Linked DNA regions of Cricetulus griseus. The protein of the gene in region 1 purifies or fractionates together with the protein of each later gene. This does not show direct contact. Links are inferred from orthologs where the notes say so. Each region holds a gene or a part of one and is shown on either strand. Other genes may lie near its edges.

Region 1 (3,514 bases):
TGTATGCTTTTTATAGGAAAGATGCAGTTTTACTATATTTGCCTGATCATTTCAATTAGGATTTACTAGTCTGTAAAATTTTCCATCCCTTTCCAATTGTAAAATTCTCTAATAATGTATTTGAAATATTAATTTGTTTTCTTTGTTTGTTTGAGACAATTTCTCTGTGTAGTCCTGGCTGTCCAGGAACTGGCCTCAAACTCAAGAGAACCGCCTGTCTCTGCCTCCCAGTGCTGGGATCAAAAGTGTATGATACCACTGCCCAATTGAAATTTTAATTTTTCTAATTAAGGCTCATTGTAATATCTGTTTTAAGTACACACACACACACACACACACACACACACACACACACACACACACCCCAACCAAATTTAAAAAAAAAACAAAACTATAATGGTTCGCCAAACCCCCACTAATAGGACAGAAAGCAATCCCTCCTCCCATCTAACCCCTCTAAACTTGTCCTAACATCCTCCTCAGCTTCCTTGAGACCCCACCTGAGCCCACTGTACCCAGAATCCTGCCCCTCCTCTCCCAACTCCACCTGGCTCACTCGTCCCTTGAAAGAACCTAACCCCAACCTGGACTTGACCTCGGTATCTCCACAAGTCTGTAAAAGAGTTACATTTTATTTCGTTGCAAAGTGCTTGGGTCCCACGTTGAGTATGAGCTAAGGGCACGTTGTGATCAGGAAGACTTGTGCATCCTGATCACAACAGTATTTACAGCACCTTGAATGACATCTAGACCTCAGGAGGTCCAGGTACTTGGTGAGTTTTTGCAGGAAGTCCTCTTTTAGGATGAGAAGTCAAGGACTACACTGTCTCCTTCAAAGAATCTGGGTCGAATCCTCAGTGATGTACTGATGCCTGCCTGCCTTCCGGGGAAGTCAGCTCCACTCCAGCAGCTCGGCAAAGTGGGGGTAGTACGTATGCTCTGAGTCCAGTGGGTGGAAAGCGGTCAGCAGTAGCAACAGCAGCAGTAAAAAGACCCCAATAGCCACCAGTGGGGACCAAACCCTGGCTGGCCAGCTGGTTGACCGCCCTCCCCACAGTACCAGACCTAGGCCAGGCCGCCATCCGGCTCCGCCTGGCCTAGCAGATCTTCTGCAAGACTGGTGAGCTCGTTCTCCTCCAGCGCCTCCACCAGGCGCTGCAGCGTGGCACGGCGGCCCTCGGCTTGCATGAAGCGGAGCAGCAGCTGGAAAGCCTGCTCGTATAGCCCATCTCGCTCATACTCATAGGCTAGCGAGTCGAGGGCAGGATCCCTCAGTGCTCGACAGCTACGCTGCAGCGAGCGCCCCACTCTGCGCCATTTGAGGCCCACTGAACGCGCGAATGTCTGCTGGTCTTGCAGATTCAATGGCCGGTTCACTGCAGAGAAAGAAAGTGAGGAGAGGTGAGTGAGCACCAGTTCCCTGATGCCAGCACCCTCCCGTGCCTGCCTGTGTAGCCCTGGGTCCAGCCATGCTCCAGCCCAGATCAACCTCCTGGTGGCCACGCTTCTGCTGCTGAACCTCACCTACGGGCTGACCATGGAACAGAAAAGTCTGGCAGGCCACCGGCAATAGCTTCTCTTCGGCTGGAGAGGGAACAAGGGACTTCGAAGAGGCTGAATCAACCTGTATGGCTCCACCCTGGCCAGTGCAGTCGCACGTCAGCTTGCGGAGTTCATTCTCCAGCTCGGCGAGTTCCTCATCCCGGAGCCGGTCGGGCTGCACAAAGGGGTGCACAGTAAGTGCGGCTTTGGGCCGCAAATCCCCACCCATCCCATCCTAACTCCAGATGGCAGCACCTTCTGGGCTAAGATGTAATTCAAACAGCGCTCCTCGTCGGTCAGCCAAGTGTCCAGCTGCTCTGCGCCAGCACGCAACTCCAGTTGCAGCCGCACCGCTTCCTGGGCAAGTGCCGAGGCCATGCACCTCTGCAGCGCGGTGCGCAGCGCCCCCTCGCGGTAGGCTTGGAGGAACCGGCCGCACAGCAGACGCCCGCAGAACCGTAACTGCACGATTAGCTGCTGGTCGCTGCAGTGGATCTTGAGTATCTGCAGTACGTCAGGGCTGTCCGCACTCTCTGCAGAGACGAGCAGTCAGGCCACCCGCTGTTCCCAAACGGCTTTTTTCCAAGCAGCCAGAACAGGAGGGTAAGCCCATAGTCAGACCATTCTCCCGACCCTCAACCAGCTACAGCCCCCTGTGCTTTCTGCCCTGGGTAGGGGAAGGGGAACAGAAAGGGTAGGTACTGGGGAAGGGTTTGGGCAGTGAGAAAGGAAAAGAAGACAGAAAAGCACCGTTAGTAGCAAAGAGTGAACTGGTTATTCAGAAGTGGGGATGAATATACATCAAGGTGGCATTAGAAAAGAAAACGGGGCTGGAAAGATGGCTTAGAGGTTAAAAGCACTGGCTGCTCTTCCAGAGGTTCTGAGTTCAATTCCCACATGGTGGCTTACAACCATCTATAATGAGATCTGGTGCCCTCTTCTGGTTTGCAGGATGACATGCAGGCAAAAGACTATATACATAATAAATATATCTTCTTAAAAGGGGGGCGTGGGGCAAGATGCTTTTAAAAAGAAAGAAAAGAAACAGGTATATCTAGATAGACACAAACAAGTGCACAAATGTCTACACTCAAGGACCCATGCAATAAGCAAAGGTTGCAGACCCCATACAGCCGGAGGTCCTCCCTCTGCCTTCATACCTCTCCCAACCCCACACCAAAATAATCTTTTTCCTAAAGGCAAAGAAGTGGGGCCTCAAACCCAGTCCCATTCACAAAGTCCCAGAGTCACCTCTACAGCAGGCCAGCCACACACCTGACAATGCAGTCTGCAGAGCCTTGTATATTGACAGCTTCTTCTGAGGATCTGTGTAGGCTTCAGACAGGACCACCTTGTCCATCAAAGACTCCAAAAACAGGTATGCACTGCCTACCCACTCTTCATGTCCATTTTGTCCAGTTGCCATCTCGACTCCTGGAGATGCAAACAGATCATCTCCAGACTTGGAAACAACTATCCAGTCTCACATTGCCCAGCTGTCCTTCCACAGAGGTCCCAGCTTTTGGCTCTGCTCACAGTCCTGCCCAGTCCAACCCAGACTTGAACCCAGGATTGTCCCTCCACCACCTGTGACAAAAAGTCTAGGGTCACAATAACAGAATAACAGAGGTGGGCCCTTTAGTGGGCCCCAAGCCAGTATGTCCCTCTTATCAAAGCTGACAAAAGACATCTTCCTTCTGGATGGTGCTCATGCTTTAAGACCAGCCAGATTCAAGTCTTAGCTTTGCCTTCAGCTTAACCTTAAGTTCCAAATAAACTATTATTTGGAAAGTTCAGGTGGAAAGTTCCCACTATACCTGGCTTCACTTAATTTTCACTGCCTAGACCCAAGTTTGAATGTGAAACGTAAGACTGCCCAAGGTACACATCTCACTCACATTCATCAGAAACCAGTCAAGATTTGATATAGGGATCAAACTAAACTAAAGAAACTAAACTCTGCATCCCTGGG
Region 2 (3,651 bases), on another chromosome or scaffold:
CACTCAACACATCACAGCAGCAGTCAGTGCTCTCTCCACACACTCACACAGATGGCTCTGTGACTGCTCTTCAGGCTCTCAATCATCAAGACAAACCAGGTAACACCAGTGCTACCGTCCCCTTCATTGTGAGAACACTCACAAGCCAGAACAGGTATAACAGGGGTCCCATTGGCCAGGGTGTTTCCCATGACAGGAAAGATCATAAGCTTTGATGCTGCCCAGACACTGAGAATCTCTAAAACCTTCACTAACAAGGATTTCAGCTAACAGAAGCTCCATGGAGACTATGAAACTGCACTTCCCAAGGAGTCTGGGCCTGCCATACCCCTGACAAGCCCAAACCCTCACACCCACCCACAGTTAAAGGTCTTTGCTCAACACAAAATCTAAGAAGCAGGATTACAAGTAACTAACAAATAAATAAAACAAAAACTCTAACAACAAAGGGAGACAAAAATTTTCCAAGAACCAATTCAAAAGAAGGAAGAGAAAGGTGTTTACAAACTGCTGTCAGATAAGCAAGTAATATTCATCTTCAGGGAGTGTGGTGAGTTTCAAGAGAACAAGACAGATACACAAGCTATAATGAAAGAATACAAAGAGCAATTCTTGAGAGCACAGGAAAGTACAAAATTTACAGGTGAAGACAAATACATAATCATCTTCAGACTTCTCCACATTGTAATGCAGAGTGTAAATAATTCAACTCTATCATAAAGGTAAAAAAAAAAACAAACACTGGGACTCAGGTAAAGTGCCTATCTACAATGCACAAAGCCCAGAATCAACCTTCAGTACTACCCCAGTCCATCACAGTGCTAAAAACAACTGTAACTACAATTGTAGTTATAACTGTCCTATTAAATAAAGGCAGTGTTAGAAATAACTATAGCTACAACTATAGTGACAACTATCCTAATAAAAACAGTATTAGAAATAACTGTAGCTACAATTATCATATGAAAAATAAACAATAGGCCAGGCGTTGGTGGCCCACGCCTTTAATCCCAGCACTCAGGAGGCAGAGGCAGGAGGATCTCTGTGAGTTCGAGGCCAGCCTGGTCTCCAGACCAAGTGCCAGGATAGGCTCCAAAGCTACACAGAGAAACCCTGTCTCGAAAAACCAAAAAAAGAAAGAAAGAAAGAAAGAAAGAAAGAAAGAAAGAAAGAAAGAAAGAAAGAAAGAAGATAAACAATAAATAAACTTAGAAGGATATAGTGACACCAAAGCCATGGTATGCTGGGAAGACAGAGGCAGTTTCTGTGCAGCTGAAATCATCAGTTTTCATAGCAGACTGCTTTAAGATGTGAGGGAGGCAATCCTCAGCTGAGGTCCCTCTTCCCAGGTGACCAGTGTGTCAATGACAGAAACCAATCAGCAGAATGGTTAAAGACATGTAGTATAGCAGTCCTGACTGCCCTCAGAGCGCAGCACACCTGAATCTGACAAATGAGTGAACTATATATACTAAAACCTAGTGATAATGACCATCTGTTAGTCTGTCTTTGCTGAGAGCAAACAGTCACAGCTGAAACCTGTTCTGAGCTGCACTGACAAAAACCATTCCTGTCTTCTCCCTTGGCATTTAAAACAGGGTGAAGAATTTTGTTTTACAAAGTATAGCAATTCAAATGTTAGAATTTAGAACGTTTTTGTCTTTTATATATAAGTTAAATTTCAAGTTACAACATATAAGCCCACAAGTATGGTTGTCATTTAAAATTCTGACATTTTCAACAGTGAAGACTAAATTCATACTAGCATTACTATGGAGAAATGTTGCTTTTTTTCAAACATGTTCTTAAAGATCAACCTCCAATAAGACCTACAACATTATGAAATCACTTGTCAAATTTGTTGCATTAAGAGAACCCTTGAAACAAACTCTGGGTGCCTTCAGAAATGCCTGCCACCAAGCCTGACGACCTGCATTCCATTCACAGAACCCACATGGTGAAAGAAGAGTTGTCCTATGACCTCCACTAGCAAATTGTGCTTTATTTTCCTTGGATAAGAATTTTTTTTTTGCTTACTGTTTTTTTCCAGATCGGGTCTGGCCAACTAGCTGAGTTGGTCTGGGGCTCACAATGTAGCCCAAGTTAACCTTGACCTCAGACTCCTTCTGCCTCAACCTGAGCTGACCTGAACTTGCTATGTAGACCAGTCTGGCCTCTGCTCACAGAGATTACATGCCTCTTCCACCTAAGTGCTGAGATTAAAGGCGTGTGGGCATGGGTGCACTCCCTACCCCATCATATACAATGGATTGATCCACTATAAACATTTCTACTTCCAAATTCCTTTTCATCATATATCACACAAAAATGACCAAAGGTCCCTGTAATTTCCTGAAGGAGGTCCAACAGATTTATCATTATTATGGAAGGCATGCACAAGTCCAAACTTTCTTCATTGTATGATTCCACTTACATGTGGTACCTAAAGTAAAAAATTCAGATATAGCAAGTAAAAGGCTGGTTGCCAGGGGTGGGGGGGATGCTTTCAAGTGTATGGGATACAGAGTTTCAGAGTGAGAAGATGAAAAGGCTCTGAACATGACTGTAAAACAGTACACATGCACTTTATGCTGCACAAGAATACATTTTAGAAGGCTAAATTGGTATATTTTTATGTATATTTTATCATGATAAAAACTCCTAACAGCCCATTTATTTTAGAAATTATGTCCAAGTTCACATAGTTAATTGGTTACAAATATACAATTTCTAATTCTATTTCACTAACAACTGTGCCCCTAAATTTATTTTAAGCAATAATAAAAATTAAGAGGTTAGGGATAGCCGGGCATCGGTGGCACATGCCTTTAATCCCAGCACTCAGGAGGCAGAGGCAGGCAGATTGCTGTTGAGTTCCAGGCCAGCCTGAGCTAGTTTCAGAACAGCCAGGGCTACACAGAAAGACCCTGTCTCAACAAAAACAATCAAAGAACCAATTACCTTGGAAACCATTTGGCATGTTCTACCCAGGGGTCATCTCCAGATTCCCAACACCTCAAGCCACCATCACAACAAAAGCATTTGACATCATCATTGCGATCTAAACAAGAAAAGAAGATGAGAAACTGACTCATGTATATTCCCATAAACAAAAAAGAGAAAGTTCTAGTCTCTGTTAACATCTTACCCACATAGTAAAATCCAGCACTTGCAAGCTGCTCAGGCTGAACAGGAACACTGGACGGCCAGCACAGAAACGTCCTCATTCGAGCAGTATGTGTCTGCATACTCAGATTTGATATACTAAACCTCTGCGTTTCTGAAGAATTTTCCAGAAATGGACAGTTGGGAAAATGTCTCCGATGCTCTGACATAGCGTCATCCTTCGGTTCCCAGTTGCTCAGTTTTCCACCACACGCAAAGCAGGCCACCCTGTCTCCAGGTCCCACATAGTAGAAGCCGGCTCTGGCCAGCTCAGCTGGTGACAGAAAGCTTAATGGCCACATACTGTAAGTAAGAAATCTGGCCTCTTCAGTAATCATGGCATAGCTGCAGGGATTGGTCCTTGATGACAAGTCTTCCACTGCTCTAGAATTGAGAGGATTTGAGGACAAGTTGGAGTGAGTACCCGCTCGTTCTGGAATAGGTAACGAATGTGCAAGCCCACTTCTCACAGGAGCTGTGTTCTTG

The links.
Region 2: the proteins of Tradd (region 1) and Birc2 purify together in Homo sapiens (affinity purification with western blotting; 3 studies listed by BioGRID and IntAct, with this or other methods). This does not show direct contact. The link is inferred for Cricetulus griseus from reciprocal best matches to the Homo sapiens genes TRADD and BIRC2.

What each region holds. Positions count from the first base shown.
Region 1 is NC_048596.1:181,546,559-181,550,072, forward strand, and holds the end of Tradd (tumor necrosis factor receptor type 1-associated DEATH domain protein), read right to left. Parts: intron 2,977-3,514; 5' UTR 2,969-2,976; coding exon 2,818-2,968; intron 2,076-2,817; coding exon 1,798-2,075; intron 1,718-1,797; coding exon 1,525-1,717; intron 1,377-1,524; coding exon 1,066-1,376; 3' UTR 613-1,065; downstream 1-612. UniProt on the Homo sapiens protein: Adapter molecule for TNFRSF1A/TNFR1 that specifically associates with the cytoplasmic domain of activated TNFRSF1A/TNFR1 mediating its interaction with FADD.
Region 2 is NC_048597.1:122,214,173-122,217,823, forward strand, and holds part of Birc2 (baculoviral IAP repeat-containing protein 2), read right to left. Parts: coding exon 3,149-3,651; intron 3,062-3,148; coding exon 2,962-3,061; intron 1-2,961. UniProt on the Homo sapiens protein: Multi-functional protein which regulates not only caspases and apoptosis, but also modulates inflammatory signaling and immunity, mitogenic kinase signaling, and cell proliferation, as well as cell invasion and metastasis.